Regions from separate parts of the Mus musculus genome. Here regions 1, 2 and 3 are each reported to be linked to region 4. The links are microRNA targets in miRTarBase. Many come from high-throughput screens and were not tested one by one. Region 4 holds a microRNA gene; each other region holds the end of a gene's coding sequence.
What was found. The annotated mature microRNA mmu-miR-465a-3p reads GAUCAGGGCCUUUCUAAGUAGA and lies in region 4 at 3,019-3,040, opposite strand. An mRNA with a match to its seed (bases 2 to 7 or 8) in the 3' UTR can be bound and repressed. Matches are read on the target gene's strand: a 7mer-m8 pairs with bases 2 to 8, a 7mer-A1 pairs with bases 2 to 7 and ends in A, and an 8mer does both.

Region 1 (5,432 bases), not on the chromosome of region 4:
GGTAGCTGACGGTCAGAGATTTCTATGGAAGAGAGGGGAGCTTGACATGCAGTGATAGTGTAATGGGAGGCACACCCAAAGAGGAGGAAGGGAGGAGATAGGACCTTGGATGGAATAAGCAAGACCCTTGTCTTAGGCTTACAATTCAGAGAGTATGCTAAAGCTTACTAGTCAAGTGATGTTTTAATGCAATATCTTTAAAAATCACAATGCCAGAAATTATAATGAACAACAACAACAACAAAAAGGTTTCATAGGTAACTATGGATAGAAGTGGTAACATTGCTCTGCAGAGTCATGTTGGGAACCTGACACAGACAAAAGTTTATCATACCTCTCCTGGCTTTGTGGATGCTTTAGTTGAAACCATGAGAGAAGCTGGGCTAGCTTGTCTAGATGGGGTCATGTAGGAAACGGGAAGCAGATTTGGGGTGGACTGGGGATAAGGGTACTGAATGCTGGTCAAAGTCTCTCTTCTTAAGCTCTCTCCCTGTCCCTCAGATCTTAATGCCCATCCATCCTTCCCTCCCTTTCTCTTGGGATGGACCACTGGGGCATTCCCATGAATGGACAGGCTGTCTCTGCAGAGGGATGGACACTCCTTCCATGGGCAACTGTAGTGCAAACCTTTAACGAGATGTTTCCAGGGACTCACCACTGTGCAGTTTATCTGTCTACTTCCCATACTAGAGGGCTAACTGTCTTTCACTTATCCTGTGGGTCTGGCATGGTAAAATTTCCCTTAGTAAATGAGCAGCTTAGTTTTCTGCTAGAGGCAGGGATGAAAAGACATAGGGGCCCTTGCAGTACGTCAGCCCCTTTTACCCTCTGCTTCAGCGTTCGGGTAGGTGCATCTGGGCTCTTCCTAGAGCTTTTAGAGCAGCAGTGGTTGGTGTGCTGAGGAACAGACTTCCTGTTGCCCCAGGGCCCTGCTGCTGTCTGCGTTGCCCCTGCCATACCTGTCCCCTCCTAACCACACGCCTCCCCTCTGCTCCCCTCTCTAGGTATCATCATTATGATGACGCTGTGTGACCAAGTTGATATTTACGAGTTCCTCCCATCCAAGCGCAAGACAGATGTGTGCTACTATCACCAGAAGTTCTTTGACAGCGCCTGCACGATGGGTGCCTACCATCCGCTCCTCTTCGAGAAGAATATGGTGAAGCATCTCAATGAGGGAACAGATGAAGACATTTATTTGTTTGGGAAAGCTACCCTGTCTGGCTTCCGGAACAATCGCTGTTGAGCCAGGCATCCTCATCCTTCTCCATAAGTCATTTTATGGCTGCTCTCCTGGTTACCACTGCTTGAAGGAGTGTTTTTATTCAACAGGCCCAGCCTGCTTCTTGCACTCTAGGGAATTTTGTTGGCGAGGGTTCTGGGGCCTCCAGTGTCTGATGGCAAGGAGGCAGACCCAGCCTTCCCTGCAGGCACAGAGTATGGGAGCCCAGATTCTTGCCGTACACATTTCTCCTGACAACATCCTCCTCTCCTTTCACATGAGTAGGGGAAAGAGCCACATTTCTCACCAGGGTTGCCAAAACTAGACTTTGTTTTTTCCAACTGAATGATGTCATCCTAACAAAGGAGCACCTTCCGTGGCTTAAATCTCTCCCTAGGTGGTGATTTCACATCTCCCAGATCATGATTTGTGTCAGATGCAGGGTGGCTTCAGGGAGGGGAGGCAAATAATTGGGACACGGTGGGGAAGCCTACTCAGTTACTCTAGAGTAAAGTTGTTCCCAAGGGTAGTCCCTTTTGATCCTTAATCCTGGGTGCTTATGATCTTGCAAAGGATCTTGGGTAGCTCACTTCCCACTCTCCATGGAGACAGAAGGTACAAAACCTCCCATCTGTCCCCAACCTGATCAGAGTTGAGTAAAAGAGAGAGACACCCAACAGGCAGCTAGAATGCAAACATTCCGTGCGCTCAGTGATTTGGGCTCCTCTCTGAGAGCGTGCTGTCTGTACACCCAGCAGGGGCCAGTTCTACTGTGTTCTTGTTGAGCAAGAGCACTGGGGAAGCTCTTAGAGGAAGAAGAGAAACACACCGTCTTCTTCAGAAGAAGTTTTCACTTTCCCCTTTATCACTGATGTTAGAACATGGAAACCCAAGGTATTTTTGTTAGAAAGTCCCTACCCACATTGGCACCAAGTGCTGCCCCACAGGAGACAGCAGATTAGTCAGATAGGCTGGGGCTCTTTTATTTTATTTTATTGTTTTAGCTGTCTACTCCCTAACCTTCTCCTAATTGCTATCATTACTCTCCCTTACAGCAGGCTTCCCTCCCAAATTACTTTTAATCATTTTCTGTTTTGCAATTACCCCAACTTTCGCTGACCTTATGGGCCCCCCCGCCCCCCATGAAAGGTCTCTCAGGGCATGGGGAATATGGTTTCTGGGACTTAGGTTAGAATCTTAATCATAACTGATTCTCACAAGGGGTGAGGTGTGTGATCACAGATTGCCCTGCTCCCCCTGCAAGGGAGTAGCATTGGTCTCTGGGCAGGGAGGACCCACCCTGTTTGGCAAGCATACTCTCACAAGGATTTTCTGAGACCTCTCTACCTGGTGGGAAACCACAGCAGCCCACTCAGCCCCTGGTGTGGAGTGGTTCAGTGACTTACAGATCAGAATTAATGCTATTGAATCAAGGTCACTGAGACACAGTCTACTGGATTCCCAAGGCTGTGCTCACAGGGCTTCGGTGTTTCGAGCTGCAGACCCACAGTCTCAGAGCTCAGAAACTTGTTTACTGCTGACCCCCTTGCCTTATGCGGGCAATAGAAAGCCCGGAGTGAAAAGCCCTGGCTTTCCAGGTTGACCCCCACTTCCTCACTGTGCCACTTTGTTTCCATATCTGTAAAATGGGGGTGACAATCCTACCTCACAAGGCTGTGTGGGGACCGCAGGAAAACATATATCTGGGCTGTGTGAGGACCACTGGAAAGCACGTGGCTGGGCTGTGTCCACGGTGCATAGGAAGTAGGTACCCTGATGTCTTTCCTTGTTTCCTTATGGAGGGTCACACCCATACTGGGCCTTGCTGCAGGAGAGGGCAGTAGAGAAAAGCAGGGCATCCTTTCTGTTGTGAGGCATCTGCATCATTTGCAACGTGCAGGAGCCTACCTGTCTTGCTGCCTGCACCTCAGGGTGTGCAGAGCATTGGGCTGCTTGGCCGCTGTGGGGGTTAGGTCTAGGGAATTCCTGGCTCATTATAAGGCATCAGGACTGTGGATAGAGTGCCCAGGAAGCTGATGTTCCTTCAAGAGGTCAGCAAGAGGTACATTAGAGATGGAGACTACACTGGGTAGATTCTAGTTTTTAGTTCTTATTAATGTGGGGGAGTAAATTAATAAGTGTAATATGATTCTGATGTCTGTTAGACTTTCTCTGTGCTCTGTAAATGTGGATACTTGAGTAAAGTGGACTACGGAGTGGATGTGGGCGTCACTGTTAGTCTGATGAGGTATTTAGTATTTGCGACAGGTAGTTTAAAATCTGTGACTGAGTGCTATAGGAAAGTGTCTTTCTACGTGGGCACTGACGTCACTAGCCATCTATGCATCCTAAATGCAGGATCCTCTTGATTCCTTCTGCCAATCAAATCTCTCATTGCTCTTGGTTTCCGGGTTTGTGTCAGAAACTTTTAAAACATACCTGTTAATTCTAAATTATCCAAAGATTATGTGCAAATTTTAAAATAAATATCTTTTTCAGAAATCTGCTGCTTCTCTTTATACTTTTCTAAAGGTAATGACTGATTGCCACTTATGTGTCCCAAGGAGACACGTCTGGAAATCGAGTGCCCTGTACTTCAGGAGTCTCTGGCATTGATCTCCCTCTTCAACACTCCAGGAAAAAGTTTATATATTTACTGTGATGGAATCTCAGAGATATTGACAGCTTATTGATTTTTTTTTTGCCCATTCACTCTTGCTAGATACAAGTAACGAAGCTATCATTTATCGCACACCTTAGGAGAAAGGAGAAATAGAATAGGGTAAAGAATAAAAGAAAAGGCTCTTGCTCTGGAGTTCAGGACCCTTACATCAGCGGCTCTTAACCTTCCTTACGCCACAGCCCTTTAATACAGTTCATGATATGATGGCCCTCAACCCTAAAATTATTTTCATTGCTTCTTAATAACTGTAATTTTGCTACCATTATGAATTGTAATGGAAATATATATTTTTGATGGTCTTAGATGACCCCCCTATTAAATGGTCATTTGACCCTCAAAGAGGTTTCTACCCACAGGTTGAGAACCACTGCTTTAGATTGTTTAGGGCAATAATGATTTTAGGGAATAGCTAAGAATGTTTGAAGACAAACCCTGAAAAAGAACAGGATTTTTTTTGGGGGGATTTCTTTTTCCCTGAACTGCTTGATTTCAAGATAAGGGCGTCTCCCCAAATCCTTAATATTGAATTCCTAACACCAGGACTCTGGAACCTCTTTGAAAATGGGACTATTAGAGATCTAGTTATTTCAGATGAGGTCATGCAGCAGTAGGGTGGGCCCGACTCCAGGAATACTAGTGTCCTCATGAAAAGGAGGAATCTAGAGACAGGCACACACAGAGAAAACACAATGTAATGTTGAAGGCTGAGGTCGCGGTGATGTACAAGCCAAGGAATGCCAAAGGTTGCCAGAAAACCCACCAGAAGCTGGAGAAGCTGCCTAGAATAGATTCTCCCCCACAGTCCTCAGAGAGGCTAACCTCAATCTGGGAGTTCTGGCTTCTAGAATTTTCAGACAATACACCTCTGTTGTCAAAGCCACACACTTTGAGGTACTTTACACATTATAGCCTTTAAGAAATCAAGCCTAATGCCTCCTCCCTCCACACCCCTGCCTTTAAAACTCCTCCCTCCATGCCCCTGCCTTTGAAACTCCCAGCTGCAGCTTCCTGGGCGAGGGAATGGGAAAGGGCAACAGGCTGCTCAGGGGTGGTGCTTACTACCCATCTAGGACCCTGGAGAATACAGTCTTGGATGCTGGGGTTTGTGGGGCTTCTCCTTCAGGAAGACAGGACCCTGGGCCACCACTACTGATGACATCTTCATCTGAGTGTTGCTGATTAGCCAGAGAACATTGAAGTGTCTCCCTGGCCCTGCATCCAATGCTTTGGCATTGTGAGCTCCTTGGACCAACGCATCTCCATGATGATAGAGAAGCATTATTTGGATCCCATGGGAATGGGTGTTGAAAGCAGAAAGTAGAAAAATAATTCTACTTGGCCAAGTTTCCAGTGGCCTGGTGAGCTAGTGGGTGGGTCTCTCCATCTGTGTCTGGAGACTGGTTTCTTTTGTTCCTCATCCTGGAATCGGATTCTGTTTTTATGATATAGATGCTAATTATGAGGAGGTGGAAAAATGGGGTCTCAGTTTCTTTGCTGATTGTAAGAAGGAAGCAGTGTGTGACACGG
Region 2 (5,432 bases), not on the chromosome of region 4:
TCCCAGGCACTCCTTTGGTACAGCCTGGAACTCACTCTGTCCAGAAAGCACACAGTCGCTGGCTTACTGCCTTACTTGGTTTGTAGACTTGTCAGTGTTTTGCCCCTGGTCCCTATCTGAGAGAGAGAGAGAGAGAGAGAGAGAGAGAGAGAGAGAGAGAGAGAGAGAGAGAGAGAGAGAGAGGTGTTCTGGCTAAGGAGCAGAGGCTGTCACACAGCAGTGACATAGTGACACAGCCAAAAGAACATAGTTAAGTACTATTTAAATAAAGTGGGGACACTTTGGGAATCTTGAGCTTGAACAAATCACTTCCAGGCATTGGGACCCCTTTCTGGGTGGCAAGAATTTGACTTAGCAGTTGGAAAGCTTCAGGCCTTCACAAAGCTTCACCCCCTCGCACCCCCCCCGCACCCCCCCGCACCCCCCCCCAGCACATTAGAAGATGGTTACTTGGCTTCAGGAAGCCCGAATTTGCCCCCAGTTTTTACCTACCACCAGGGGGCTCTCTCTACATGGCTACCTTTTCAGTCTTGGCTTGTAAAAGACAATGCAAGGCTCAATACAATCCCTCAGTGTATCTCTTGCATTGGTAAAATGTTTCTCTAGTCCCATTAGAGAATTGGACTCCCTGCCACAAACCCATTTACTTTAGGTTTTTAGGGAATACAAAGGTCACTATAAGAATTCGAACATAGAGGAAATGTTGCATTCTGTCCGTATTTAGGGATGTGTCTGTGCACAACCTATTCCCCTGCTACACACACCGTTCAGTACCATGCTTCACAACTCATTACCTGTATCCTTCAGAAATTGGTAGGATATTTGCATCAAACTCTATTTATGTTGCTTTTATAGAACACACTACAAGCATATATGCGCATCCCCACAGGGGCTACTAGGTATCCAAGCCAGACTGTGTATACTAAGGCATAGTTGTTCTGCACCAGGAACTCTCTTGGATAGTTTTGCTCTCACTTAGGGAATTATCTGAATCAGATTCTTTAACAAATTCAAAAGTGCAAGGCAGAGGGAGAAAGGAGAGAAAGGAAATTTGAGACAAGGAAGGTCTGTTATTGTCCCCAACTAGAGAAAAGGACCAAATTTTGGCGCTTTGCAGAACCCCTTAGGGCTGGAATTAGAGACAGATGTCTTTCTGGAGGCATCCGTGGGGAAGTGGCTCCCTTCTCTTACCTCCTCCAACCACTGTGTAGAGTTGGGAAAGCCCCCTCCATCTAAGTTTCCTTACTTGGCAAAGCCTTCCCAGCTGTGGATGCCTCTTGCTGGTAGTTCTTGGGTACAGTGAGGCAATCCTCCAATGCAGGCCTTGTTCAGCGTCTCCATCTTACTGGAGCTGGGCCATGACCTACCCACCAAAAGCCCTACCTCTGAGGCTGTCCTCCTGCTTTCTACTCTGGATAGCAGTTTGTTGGGGGTGCTGACAGCTAGTCCCCCGGAACAGGGAGCCTCTGTCAGATGAAGTGAGGGGTGCACATACTTTGTTATCCTTCAGCAAGCCAGAAACACACACCCAGGGCACAGCTGTTTAGATCAGCACGAGGTATGAATGCAACAAGTACTGGGTTCTGGCAAGCACCCCCTAATATTAGTCATATAGCTAGTACAATATCCTAAATATATGTCATCCATCCTCCCTGCAGGTGAATGACAGATACACAGCTTATACCCTGTCTCCATTAAATAACAGACACTAGAAACACTCACGCCAGGCACAGACTACAGTGATCTGATCCGTACATTTGAGACTTAACACCAGGCTACAGAAACACCTTCTTGCCTGAGGGATTCTCCCTTTCCACCACAACCGAGATTCTCCTTTCAGCCGACCCCCAGTGGGTGGGCTGAAGTTTCTACCTTCCGGAATCCACAGCACCTCCTCTACACTGTAGCCTCCTTCTGAGATCTTTGCGGGGGGGGGGGGGGGGGAAGGAGAGTGCATTCTGAGCCGAACAGGCTTCCCTTGATCCCAGCAACATTATAATCTAGATATCACCCTGACATTCCTAAGGTTAGACCTTCGGTTAGCTGAAATGAGGACCCATAGGTTCACACCCTTAAGCTCTTAGCTTCTCCCAGCTCGTTCCTCTGGACCTGTCTCTTATCCAGGTAGAGAGAGAGGCAGGTGACAGATTCATGGTTATGCATGGGATCTAAACTCCTGTTGCACGAACCCTCAGCCACTCACTGCCGGATCCAATATCTGTCACCCCATTGGAAAACTGAAGGCCAGCCACCTCTAGTCAACCAGAGAGATTTCATCTGCAACCAGGTCAAACACCTTTTGTATCTTCTTGAGAGCATGGGTCTTAATTCGTTATTTGATGGAGCTCAGTAAAGAGAAAGCAAAAGCCCACCTCCGTAGCATATTGTACACTAAGTCCCACCTGAAACACCAAGTTTCCTACACTTATTTCAAGATAAATGAATGCCAATTGCTAAAAACAACGGTACGACAAATCACCGATTACACTGTAGAAAAGCTTGCAGCTTCCAAGGTGTTTCTGAAATCTGGATTTTATATTAAAAAATGTTACATATATTTTTGACAAAAAAATTCTTAGACGTATGAGGATAGCAGTGGAAACACAGCGTACGCACCTAGTACAATTATGTAAGAGGCAAAATATAAACTTACACGAACGCAAAACGAGAACAAACCTTGCCTACAGTAGCCTCTAGCGAGGGCCGGGTATCTTTGCCGGTGTGAAACAGCCGCAACAGACAAACGATGACACAGAAAAACAAACAATCTCCTGAAAAACAAAGCAGCAGCGACAGCCCAAAGCGCCTGCCACCCGGGTTGTCCTCAACTCTTGTTTGTGTCACTTTTTAAAAGAACACAATTTTTCTTGAAAGGCTCGCTCTCTTAGCTAGCTAGCTGCTGAACTACGGTGTAAAAGAAACAATGCAAGTCCGTGTTAAAAGAAAAACAAAAAACAAAAAAATTTATTTGGGAATTGACAAGGGACGCCCTCACACACGTACAAACACAACAAAAGTGCTCTAGTTCCCTCTAGAAAATTTGGTCCCCGAAAGACATTACTCAACCACCAGGTCACGGGATTTCGGGCCAGCCGGCTGGGGCCACAAGCCCGTGTGGGCCGGCCATGACGAGTTTCACATTTCTCCTTCCGAAGGTGGAAGAAACAAGACATTGGAAAAACAAAAATCAGGGATAGGAGTGTCATCTGGGCGGTGTGTACCAGCCAGGCAGAGATCTCTTCTGGCATCCGGGGCAGAATCGGAAGATCCGGGGAAATTTGTTTTGAGTTCAACTTTTAAATAGAAAAGAAATTCCTAATTTGTAGTGGAAACCTTATTTTAGCTAGTTATTTTCTCCTCCCTCTGAACACAGCCTAATGAAGTCACCACGGGAATTCTTACACAAATTTCCCAGCAGGGTCGATGAAGAAAACCAAAACTTTTGATTTTGTTGTTTGGTTTTAGCAAACTCCAAGGCCATTACATTTCTCCTCCCCACCCCCCCATGAATGTTTTATTCTCTCCCTCTTTCTTTTTTTCTTTAAAAAGTATTTTTTAATATTTTCAAAAGCCTCACCAATCTTTTTCATAAAGACCTGGCCTGGAGGTGCCCTATGCGGTGCTCTGCGGAGCGGAGGCACCACGGCCTCACAAGGAGCGGGGGATGAGAACTCGGTTGCAGGCCGCGGAACGAGGCTGTCCCTGCTCCAGCCTGGGGCTCAACCCCCGCCCCGCCCAGTGGGCCCCTCTGCAAGCGGCTTCTGATCAGTTCCAGGAGGGATCGCAGAGCGACCAGACACGTTCTTTCCATTCTCCGGTAGTGTGGGTCCCTCTTCCCCCAGCAGCCTAGCGCTTCTAGTCGCAGACAGTCGGGGTGGGGAATTAAAAATAAAATCGAGCTTGAGTCCACCGACCTGGAAGAGAGGGCCAAGAGGTAAGCTGCGTCTCAGACACTTCGACCGCACCTCGGCCGGGGACTCACTCCCTGCGGTGAGGAGAGGAGGCCCGCGGAAAGCACGGAGTGGGCGGCCTCCGGCCAGCAGCACGGGAAAGCAGAGGCCGCGGCGGGGAAGAGCACCGGAGGAGCAGCGGAGGCGACAAAGCGGAGTCGCAGGAGCGGGGCGGACCGAGGAAGGGCAGACCGCTCGAGGGCTCTGCATCCAGAAGCTGTCCCGGAGTGCGCGCTGTCAGGCTGGCTGCTGCGGCTGCGACCCGAGCTCGGCTCCTCCACTCCCGGGATAGGGGTGGGGGACCGCTCCCGCGCGCGTTGGCACTCAGAGATCCAGACGCGAGTGCAGCGCGCCCGTCTTGCTGTCGTGGTCCCAGTATGAGCAATGCATCATGGCGAGCTCGGGTTGCCGGGCGCAGGCGAACTGCAGGCCGGGCGCGCTCGTGGGCGCGGGTGCCGGGGGCGCGGCGGTGGCCGGGCTGGCGGGACTGAGCTGACCCGGGGGAGGCGCGGCAGCCCCGTGGTGTGGCGGGGCTGGCGGGGGCGCAGCGGCCGCGTGCAGATGATGTGCGTGAGGGTGCGGGTGAGGGTGCGGCGGCGGTGGCGGCGGCGGTGGTGCGGCAGGAGGGCCCCCCAGGCCGTTGTAGGAGTTCACGACGCCCGGAGGCAGCGCCATGCTCTGCACGCGCGAGTACGGCCCGTAGGAGGCGGCGGGGCCCGCCAGCCCCTTGACCACCGCGGCTGCACCGGGGCTGCCCGGGCCGGCGGCTGCAGCGGCTGCAGCAGCGGCCGCCGCAGCCGCCGCCATCTGGCAGGAGGCGTAGGGCATGGGCGAGGGAGGCTGCGGCAGGGGCCAGGAGTTGTTGAGGAACCCCGATTGCAGGTACTTGGGTGGCGCCAGGTAGCCATAGCCATCGGCCCCAGCTCCGGGCACGCCGCAGCCACCCGCCGCTCCTCCGCTCCCGAAGAGCCCCTTGCCGGGCTGGAAGTGAGCGGGCGGCGGCCGGAAGGGCCGCTTCATGCGGCGGCGGCGCCGGTAGTTGCCCTTCTCGAACATGTCCTCGCAGGCCGGGTCGAGCGTCCAGTAGTTGCCCTTGCGCTCGCCGCCGCCCTCGCGCGGCACCTTGATGAAGCACTCGTTGAGGCTGAGGTTGTGGCGGATGCTATTCTGCCAGCCCTTCTTGTTCTTCTCGTAGAACGGGAACTTGGCTATGATGTACTGGTAGATGCCGGACAGAGTGAGCCTCTTCTCGGCGCTCTCGCGGATCGCCATGGCGATGAGCGCCACGTACGAGTACGGGGGCTTCTGCGCGGGGTCTGGTTTCTCCGGTGTTGTCCCGCCTCCCTTGCCGGGACTCGGCGGCGACGCCTCGGCCTCTTTGACTGCGCGTCCGCTCTCCGGAGCCAGCAGGGTCCCCGCCGTGTCTTCGGGCTCGGGGTAGCTGGCCATCATGACAAAAGCCGGCTCTCCGCGGCCGGGCAG
Region 3 (5,337 bases), not on the chromosome of region 4:
TCCTCCAGGTGAACAGAAGCCTCCTTGCCGTGGCAGTTCTGGGCTTTCGAGTAGCTAGCTTGTGCTTTTTGTAGAAGCTACAGAGGTTTTTCTTACTGATGGGAATTGACCTGCCGCGGCTTTGGCCATGTAGGGCTATCCCTGGGGTTTTGTGTAAGACTCAAGAGGGTTTGGCATGCCAGTGTGGACTCTGTGGTCAGGGGTTTATGCAGTAGCGTGGGGTTCTGATTCACTGTGTCCTTCAGCAGCAGCAAGTCCTCTCCATATGTTGGCCACCCATGCATCAGCATCGGCATCCCTGCCCACAAAGCGCCAGAACGGTGACCAGGCAGAGCAGCCAGAGCTCAAGCGAGTTAAAGCAGAAGATGGCGAGAGCATTGTCATTGCCCTGAGTGTGGATGCACCACCAGCAGCTGTGAGAGAAAAGGCAATCCAGAACTAGCTGTGGGAGACCTTTTCTTCAGACATCAACTTTGTGGTGCCAAAAGGAGATGCTGCCTCTCATTGAAGCAGGGAGCGCTGCCTCTCTCTCACTGAAGCAGGGAGCGCATCCTCGGTGGGTAAAGGGCCCTGCGGTTGGACTTCACCTCTCAGCACTGAAAACATGAACCCAGGTGGCCTTAAAACTCCTTAATTTAAAGACATCTTACACTTGAACAGACCCACAACAGCAACCCTGGTTCCAGAGGTGGTGTCTCCGACAGAGCACTTGCTGGGCCGTTGTCTGTGGGCTCAGCTTTTACTACAAGCAAGAAATCCAGGTCCCAAAGGACTGAGTCTCCTGGGAGGACGCAGCACCTGCTACAAGTGGATCGCGCTGGCTTTCCTTTAGGGGACAGGGCCACAGCCATCTGCTGCCCTCATAGGACCTGCTGGCTGTGGCTGAGAGACAAGACAGTGTTTTGTTGTTCACATACGGAATTAGAATACTTGGCAGTGTCCTTTCTTTACTGAATAATGGGGTCTTTGACATTTCATATCACTCCATTTCTACTCTGGAAATTTGAGATTCATTTGGGGGAAAGAGCGTCATTCTGTTTGTTTCTGTGGTTTGATTTTAGCCCGTGGGATGGTTTGCTCTAGTCTGTCCTGCCTGTGTTTGGGTGGCTCTCCCTTAGGACACCTACCTGCCCGTTTCCGTTTAGAGCAGTTACCTGATGAATTTGACCTACCTTGTGCCATTGTAGAGGGTGGGTGGGCTGAGGCTGCATGGACCCATGAGGCCAGGGGGCATTGGGACAAGAGACCCTGGGAGCCTTCCAGCCGTCAGGCTGCACGCACGTACCTGCTCTAGCTTGCTGGGTTTGTTGTTTGTTTCTTTATGTAGACTTTGTCCTTGGCGTAATTTCCCACTCTAGTAAAACAAGTCTCCTAAATATTGTGTATGCTTAAAGCAACAGATCCCTCCCTCCTGGGAAACAGATCCAGGCCTCTGTCACGCCTTTTCAGACCAAGGTCATAAATCTCTCTCTCCCAGAACCTGGGGAATCATAGAGGTCAGCTCTGGCCTCTGACTGGCTATCTGTATGGCACACTCGCAGCAAGAGCTGGTGGAGAGATGTTGCCAGTTAACTTGAGGGTCTTGGGAGTAAGACCCTGCAGCCAAGTATCAAGCATTCAGGCCATTTTATGATTCTCAAGAGGTTTCTCTGGATTTTCAGAATGACGTCCCACACTAATCCTGACTTATGTCACATAGCAAGTAAACTAAGAGGGAAGGGTGAGGAGAAGTGGGGAGGCCAGCAGCCCAGCCCACACTCAGGATCACCGCTCACCTTTCCAGAGCATTCTGGACTGAGCTGAGCAACAGGCAGAGGGCGTTAGCCTCATTGTGAGGTTTTTTTTTCCCTGATGTCATCATCATAACGTTATTTATTTAAATGTAGTTATTTTGGTATTTAATTTTTTTTAAGAGAGGGGGGGAAACCCTGTATTTTCCTGGTAGAATGAAATGGCTCAGAATGGTATATTTAGGCAATTTAAAACATTATTTACATAAAGACCAAATATGATAAGTCTGTTCTAAGTATTGCTTCACCCACAGTATGGAGCTGTCACAATGTTACTGCAGATGATGCGTGTTGACATGGAGTTACTGCACCCAAGCTGGATTTATATAACTCAGCCACTTAAACAATAAAGGTGAGACATGATGCGAGTGAGAACATGTGTGTGCCCACCGCAGTCTGCCTCCTCCATCGTTTCTGCAGGTAACCTCGGAATGTCTGTCTCGTAAAGGTTTGCAGTTTGCAGAGTACTTTAATTTGGGTTATATTGTGCCCAGCATGTGCATCCAGACTATGGGCCTCAGTTAACGTGGTACACTGGCAGGCCGCTGCCCTAGTCAAGGGTGGGCTCAGGTACCACCAACTGGACATACTGTGTATCTGGAGATGTGTGTGTATAGCATGCTTGCCCAGGACTTGTTCCCTATGAGTGAGATCTGCAAACTCGTTACCTCTGAGCCCCAAACAGACCTTATGGGTCTGTAGGAGTTTCTTTTGGGGATCATAGAAAACATTTAAAGATGGAAGGAGGATTTTTTTTTTTTCTTTAAGGCCACCTTCTCAGTCTCGCGTGAGTGAAGTGTGCCAATAGGCACACACCCATCTTTTCTCCTTGCTGCTGTATCGGCCTTGCTGCTGCTTTGGTCCATAGGAATGTAACGCTGCCAAGGAGAGGGCAGAAGCTGGACCCTTAGGTTATTAACTGAGTACTAAACCCAGGGTTTCTTCCCAGTGTTGAAGGCACTACTTTAGTTTTATGTTCATCTAAGTTCCCAGAAGCCCCTCCATACACCAGAGCTGGGCTCACGTGCTTTGGCCCTCAGCAGAGGTCTGATGTGGGAACGTACTATCCTGACACAAGGAGCTCACAGCAGTCCCCAGTGCCTGTGGCACCACTGCTAAATGCTTATGGAGTCTCACTTTGACCTTTACCAAACTTCTGAGCTCCCTCAGGAACGAGATAACTTCAGCAGCGTAGGCTTGAACCACACCGACCACAAAGGGAAGCTCACCTGTGTCCTGGGTACGGTGCATTCCAGAATGTGTGTGGCATAACATTGTATAGCTATTTCCCACACTGTAGAATGTGTTCACAGACAGCAGCTGGTCTCCGTAAATACCCCACCCCACTTCCTTGTCCTCTGCTGGGGAGCTGGTCACAGAGTAGCCGTAGTAGTTCAGAAGGGGTCGGGGAGCATCAGGACTTGGGTTTTCTATGCTGTGTGACACAAGGAGAGAAGTGACAATCGTGAAGGCCAAGCATCTGCAGCTCAGAGGAAGCAGAGTGCTGATCTGTGTGCAAAGATTTGGAATTTTTAAAAAGTACCAAGTTCCTGAAATTCAATAAAATATTTTTATTAATTTTAATGAATACAGAGTATCATTGTCTTCTGATAAGCAGATACATCTATCTTACTTTTTAGCTTGTGCTGGGGAGACTGGACCAGGAACACAGATGGGCGGCAGCACAGGCTCCCTTAGAGGTGAGGGAAGGCACAGGGTCTTCATGATGCTACGGCTGTACAGTCAACTGTGTGGCATCTTACTGACATTCCGTTGTTAGAGTTATAAAGTGTTCTAAGTTGTGATTGTCCCCCACTCCCACCCCACTCGCCCTTTGAGGTTCCCAGGCGGTAACACTCATCTTCCAGCTGCTGTCCCAGGCCACCCACATAACCAAATAATAAATCTATGGGCATGGAGTCAGTCTGAGCTACATGAGACTTGCTTTTTTAAAAAATGGGGGTCAGGGGATGGGACACTGGCAGGCTGGTGGGTCTAATTGTTTCCTGTTGCCTTTTTCTGTTATGACCCCAGTTGAGCCACTTGTAGCGTACAGGGAGGCTAAAATGTGATCCTTTTTAGAGAATGCTGGCTGGGGAGACAGAGTTAGAATTCCCTGGAATTCTGTGCCCCACATTGATCTGGAGCCATCATGGCAAAACTGACCTGGAGGAAGTGTGAATTGTCTGAGCAATGCACGCAGGGTGTGGCCTGAGTAGCTCAGAAAAGCTGGGAGAACTCCACTCACAAACATGGGTGTAGATATGTGCAGTCTGCACAGCAGTGGTGTTAGCTAAGGTAAAACTCACTGAGCAAATGGCCACAGGAAGCTCAGCCTGAGGACAGCTGTCAACTCCAGTATGACCCAGATGTAAGTAAAAGCAAACAGTGCATGCTTCCTGAAGTTGAGCAAATGCTCTTTAAATACATCAACAAGTTACAGACCTTAGACATGAACTATTCAGTGGATAGAGCCTTTAGAAATGGAAACGAGCTTCAGGGACACAAATGTCCCTTGGTTCCCTGCTAAAGGAGAAAGATGGAAGTAGCTTTTATAAAAAAACAAAATAAAGCTGGGCGGTGGTGGTGCACGCCTTTAATCACAGCACTCGGGAGGCAGAGGCCTGGTCTACAGAGTGAGTTCCAGGACAGCCAGGGCTACACAGAGAAACCCTGTCTCGGGGGGGAAAAAAAATAAAATAAAATAAGTAACTGGGTGTGCTTAGTTCTGAAAGACCCCCGAAGGGAGACCCTCACTCAAGCCTCGGGACAGCCGCGGACCCAAGAAGACACTGAGACCGAACTCAAAGTGTTGAAGGCAAGATTTAATAAAGCAACAGCATGAAAGCACATAGACCAGAGCTCTGGGGTCGAAACTCATACACCTAGTGGTGTAGAGGAGAATCGACGACCAGCCAAATTTTTCACAGGCTTATATAGGAAAACTCAAGGGGGGAGAGCGGGGTAGGGAAAGTACAAATTTACATAACTAAGGGGTTCTGCCAAGGGACAAGGGGTTCTGCCAAGGGATTCTACGTAACTAAGGGGTCATGTCCTATTATTTGGCAATGTACTCGGTTCATTCTGAGGTTGTTCCAGGAGGCCCTTATCTCAAAAATGTTCTTGGAACAGTCTTTAGTTGGGAGGGTTCGAACTCTAGGGTGAGGAGTTCAGGAATGTATTCTGGGGTGAAGAGTTCAGGAGTGTTCTGGGAACACTCTCTAGATGGGAGGGGTCGGGCTCTGGGGTGAGGAAGAGTTCAGTAATTTTTTATTCTTCATTCCCCACTCCTTTTAGGAAATAGCTCTAATCTTAGAGCGAGTTTTCAACCTCCTGAAGGACCCGATATTGTTGCCTTAGTACCATAACCTGTACTGCATTTATCCTTTCTCTAATAAAAGCTACTAACTTATTAAGGATGCAGGGGCCAAAAGTAAGCAAAAGCATAAGTGTAATTAAAGGTCCTGCTATGGTGGAGAGGAGAGTGGTGAGCCAAGGGGACTTATTAAACCAGCTTTCGAACCATCCTTGTTGGCTTTCTCTTTCT
Region 4 (5,432 bases):
CTTTCACCATCAAGTGAAACATGCAATGATGAACTGTTTATATCTAGTTGGATCATTAACCAAATGGTTTCCTCCAGCAAACAACTTAGGCTATTGTAAATATTTTGTAAATTGCAAAAACTCTTCATAAGGTGATATTATTGAACAAGGAAGTCAGAGTGGTACCTGTAGAATCAGCACCTCTACTAATCAGCATTCATGGTACTGAAAGTTACTCTGAATGATACCAGAGGATAAATGTAACCATCAACACAACTACAAACCATGTGCTCTACATGGTGATTTGCCTACATGCTGTACTGGTGAAATAGTGGCACAAATGCAATGCAAGTAACTAATTAATCTCTCAATGGGTTTAAGGCCTGCTGTACAAGATGGAACCCATATCCTGGGGTCAAGAATCTAAGTCATGGGCCTAGGAAAGAAACGCATGTTCTATTTTTCTTCTAAATGTACAATTAAATGACTCCTAAGGATGTTCTCCTATACGCATACCAGTGTTTTGATCAGCCATAATTAAAGTTTCCTCTTACAGTGGATGGAAAAACACAGACCCAGAACTGGGCAGGATGCAGAGAATGAGAGAATTTGAATAAATACAGGACAATTTAAAGTAGGTATTGCCTCAGCTAGATCCATCACTCTTAGTAATTTTATCACTGTACTCCATAGAGTGTAGAATTTATTAACTGACCTTTACTCATAAACCCTAGAAAAAAAACCAAAATACTATTTTAAACTTATGCCTTTTCCCAAATTCCCTAGCCATTTTATCACTAAATTATGAAATAGTCATCAATGAATTTGGTACCTATTCCCCCTATTGTACATAAAATTAGTGTTCTAATGCTCCTGGGTAAAAGAAAGTAACTGCATATATACTGCCATTTACACCCAGAGCACAATTTCAGGGCATGATGATTCTTGTTTTTACACAAAGATTTGTTCTTCATGTGTTTATAGGACTGAAACAAATCAAGACTATAGCCTGGTATATAGTGCTGATTTCACGTATCTTTACCCTTCCCCATACTTTCAACTGTAATTATAACATAAATAAACATAATATAACATACATAAAGAAATAGCTTTCATCCTGTTCTACTCAGGAAATTCTCTCACCATCAAAATTCTCCCTGAAAGTACATTTACTCATGTTTTTTCTTTAAATGAATACTCATCTCTGTATCAATGCAATATGTTGACTACTATTTTCTTTTTTGACAACTTTACTACATTTAGTATATATGGCTTATTTGCTTTTATTATTTACCTTTGTTTTCTAACCTGTACATTTTACAGTAAACAATTCTATGGTGAATACACCCTAAGTTACATTGATGTCCAGACAGTTACAATGCATCCTGCTATCAAAAACGTTTATCTCTCACATGTTTGAAGTTTAAACCAAATTATATCACCACAAATATTGTATGAGTGAGATTTATTTCAGACAAAGAAGTCCTGAAAATATCTAAGTCACCTATGCATCATCAACATTAGTTAACTGTTTTGTACTGCCCGAACATGTCCCATCATATCCTAGAGACTTTGTCATACTCCTAGAAAAGACTTGGGACTGTTCACAGGGTCCCCAATGGAGGAGTTAGAGCAAATACTGAAGGAGATGAACGGGTTTGCAACCTATAGGAAGAACAACAGTATCAAACAACCAGAACCCCTACATGCTATGGACTAATCCACCTTCCAAGAGTACACATGGAGGGACCCATGGCTCCACCAGCATATATAGTAGAGGACAGCCTTTTTGGGAATCAATGTGAGAAGAGGCCCTTAGTCCTGTGAAGGCTTGATGCCCCAAATGTAGGGGAATGCCAGGGAGAAAAATTGGGAGTAAGTGGGTGGGTGAGGTAACACCCTCACACAAGCAGGGGGAGGTTAGATGGGATGGGGGGGATATTGGTAAATGGGAAAACATTTGAAATGTAAATAAAGAAAATATCTAATAAAAAAAAAACAGAACAGAGAGTGGTGAAATTCAAGAAATCATGTAGTATCTTAAAACCTTGTATTTTGTTACATAAGAAAACTAAAAGAGGTATCAACCTGTTGGTCTTCTCTTTTCTTGACTTCCTTGTCTTTGCATATTATATATTGGGTAATCTATGTTTCTGGGCTAATATCCCGTTATCAGTGAGTGCATATTTAATGACTTCTTTTGTGATTGTGTACCTCACTAAAGATAATATCCTCCAGATACATCCATACATCCAAGAATTTCATAATTTCATTGTTTTTAATAGCTGAGTAGTACTCCATTGTGTAAATGTACCAAATTTTGTGTATACATTCATCTGTTGAGAAACATCAGGGTTCTTTGCAGTTTCTGGCTATTATAAATAAGGTGGCTATGAACATAGTGGACCATACCCTATAGGTGGAACAACAATATGAACTATCCAGTATCCCCAGAGCTCATATGCAGCAGCTTATGGCCTAATTGGCCATCATTGGGAAGAGAGACCTCTAGGTCTTGCAAACTTTATATGCCCCAGTACAGGGGAACACCAGTGCCATGAAGTCGAAGTGGGTGTATAGGGGATCAGGGAGCTGGGAGCATATAGGTTACTTTTGGGATAGCATTTGATATGTTAATAAAGAAAATATATAATAAAAATTTAAAAAAGAAAAAAATGAGAAAGAAACCTAAAGGATATGAATGTATTTCTAGATGACTATTATCTACTGTACAGCAAATAAGAAGGCCTGATCAATTCTGAAGGGAAAAGCAGAAGTAGATATGGTGGACAGGGAAAGTATACAGGGGAGGGGCTACAAGGTGTGTAGGGAAAAAGAAACTAGAATCTGGACATAATACACGAGGAAAGAATAAGTAAATTATAAATAAATAAATAAATAAATAAATGAATAGAAGGAAAAAAAGAATGTGGATATGTCCAAGCTCATCTATGATTACAGAAGGCACTTTTCATGTACCTACAGCTAATCTGAATATCCATCTACAAGTCATTAAACGTAGAAGGTGGTAAGCCTTACTCTACTTAGAAAGGCCCTGATCAATTTTTTATTTTATCACATCAGTGCCATTCTAAATAGGGCACTGCATACAAAGCCTTTAAGGAGATGTTCACACATTCATAAACAGTCTTGTTAGTTTTATCTCACCTCTAACCATAGCCATTAATGGCCAAGTAAAGGGTCATACAGAATCCTACTACTGTAGAAGTTTCTTTTAATATATATACACATATGAGGAATCAAAACAGAGTCACTAAATAATAGGGAAACCATGCTCTCCACATTACAACTTTCACCATCAAGTGAAACATGCAGTGATGAACTGTTTATATCTAGTTGGATCATTAACCAAATGGTTTCCTCCAGCAAACAACTTAGGTTTTTGCGAATTTTTTATGATTTGCAAATACTCCTGGTAAGGCGATACTGCTGAAAAAGGAAGTCAGAGTGGTACCTGTAGAATCAGCACCTCTACTAATCAGCATTCATGGTACTGAAAGTTACTCTGAATGATACCAGAGGATAAATGTAACCATCAACACAACTACAAACCATGTGCTCTACATGGTGATTTGCCTACATGCTGTACTGGTGAAATAGTGGCACAAATGCAATGCAAGTAACTAATTAATCTCTCATGTAAATAAAGAAAATATCTAGGAAGAAAAAAAAAAAGAAAAAAAGAATGATACCTACTTCCTCCTGATATTTATTCGAAAGACAATGACAGTAATCATCCCAATGTTCTAAAACACTTGTATTCCTTAACAAATTTAACTTGCATTCTTCTTATTTGAATGATTATATGGCAAAAAGTGAAAATGCTATACTTCCATGTATTTAATTTTTTTCTGTGATATCATACTGTTTTTATATTAAAAACATACTGTTGTAATAACTCAGAAGATGTCTGATTTATAAGTCCTCGGAAAGGCATTTGTGAGATTTGAGAACACATGTAGTGGTTACTTGTAGTTATTCTTCCATTACCATTCATTTCTCACCACAAACATTTTATTTTTGAGCATTACTGTACACAGAGATGATCTTAAAATGTAGTAATAAATAACCTACAATTAATTGTTCAATAGAATACAATTCATGTGGAATATAGAAGTCCTTTTCCAAGCCAAAGTTTTCAAAATGTCAACTACAGTGTTCTTTGCCTTACATCTTTCCTTCTTTTTCCTAGTCTATGTTAATCTTAATGATGGTTTGAATCTATGGTTTAAGTTCTCTCTCATTCACTTTTTCCCTGTAACAAGATCATAATCTTCATGATCATATTTTCTTTAATTCTCATGAGTTTCAAAATTGGGCATGGTAAATAAGAATGTATCCTGGAGACATCAAATGTGCATATTTAACCAGAGACACCAATTCAAGGGAAACTGCAAGTGTACTGACACTATCACTCAGAGATCACAAAAACTATGAAAGGTAATATGAATTGTTCACAAAGAAGTTTGGGACATATGGTGTTTAAAAGATGGGCCACAGTCTAGTTAAAATACAGATAAGTAGCTGCTTGAAAATTTTCTAAATTATCATTTTCTATCATCCTCTCCAGATTTTGTAACATGAGAAATAAAGAAAAATACTCTTACCATGAGCTGATTCAATCGTAAGTCATGCAAAAATAAAAAATTCATTTTCCTTTACCATATATTTTACCAAAGATCCTCTCAAATTATATTCTTTTCATCTACACAATAGTCAGCACTAAGAGAACAACATGTTTGTTACAATTATTGATAATACAATATAATAGGCCAAACAATTTTACCTTCATCTACTTTTAATCTGATAGATCCATGTTGAGAATTATCCATGAAAGTCACCTTAAGAGTGCCTGATAAACTGGCCATTGGTGACACAGATTTAAACCCAGCACTCTGGAGACAGAGGGAGATAGATCTCTGTGAATTTGAGACCAGCTAGGTCTCTCCAAAGTGAGTTCTAGGCCAGCCAGAGCTACCATAAGAAATTTTGTATTAAAACCAAACCTAACAGAACCAAAAATCTATAAATGGTGCCTGATAAAATAAATGTTTGGCAGGACAGGACTGGTATTAAAAAACATATCCACAAGTGTTTTAGATATATTACCCACACTATCCAGATGTTACCTATATATGGTAACAATATACAGACAATTCCTGCATCTTTATATACAGAGAGAGAGAGAGAAATGACTTTAGTTCAGTTGGCTGCCTGACTAAAGCAGAGCACTGCACATAGACTCTGCTAACTCTAATATCCACTACAGGTCTTGAGGATAGCATAATACACAAATTCCCAATTTATTTTTCAGGAGTTCTGGTGAGTGCCAAATATAATGACATTCACAGGAAGAAGTGAAAATATCACTATTTGCAGATGATAAAATATATATACGTGACTTCAAAAATTCCATCAGAGAACTCCTAAAC

Region 1: the mRNA of St6gal1 is a reported target of mmu-miR-465a-3p. Seed matches in the 3' UTR shown: 7mer-m8 at 2,994-3,000.
Region 2: miRTarBase lists Foxl2 as a target of mmu-miR-465a-3p. Seed matches in the 3' UTR shown: 7mer-m8 at 3,187-3,193.
Region 3: the mRNA of Foxk2 is a reported target of mmu-miR-465a-3p. Seed matches in the 3' UTR shown: 7mer-m8 at 1,847-1,853.

The regions. Positions count from the first base shown.
Region 1 is chr16:23,356,625-23,362,056 of GRCm38, forward strand. St6gal1 (beta galactoside alpha 2,6 sialyltransferase 1) reads left to right here. Exons shown (of 8, transcript NM_145933.4): 8 at 1,005-3,726. The coding sequence ends at 1,246. Among named protein-coding and RNA genes, the nearest start is that of Gm30814, 33 kb to the left of the region's middle.
Region 2 is chr9:98,955,631-98,961,062 of GRCm38, reverse strand. It overlaps Foxl2 (forkhead box L2), which reads right to left. Exons shown (of 1, transcript NM_012020.2): 1 at 2,937-5,432. The coding sequence starts at 5,402. The coding sequence ends at 4,275. Among named protein-coding and RNA genes, the nearest start is that of Foxl2, 2.7 kb to the right of the region's middle.
Region 3 is chr11:121,306,523-121,311,859 of GRCm38, forward strand. Foxk2 (forkhead box K2) reads left to right here. Exons shown (of 9, transcript NM_001080932.3): 9 at 246-3,378. The coding sequence ends at 442. Among named protein-coding and RNA genes, the nearest start is that of Wdr45b, 45 kb to the right of the region's middle.
Region 4 is chrX:66,836,045-66,841,476 of GRCm38, forward strand. Mir465 (microRNA 465) reads right to left here and starts at 3,081; the gene lies at 3,008-3,081.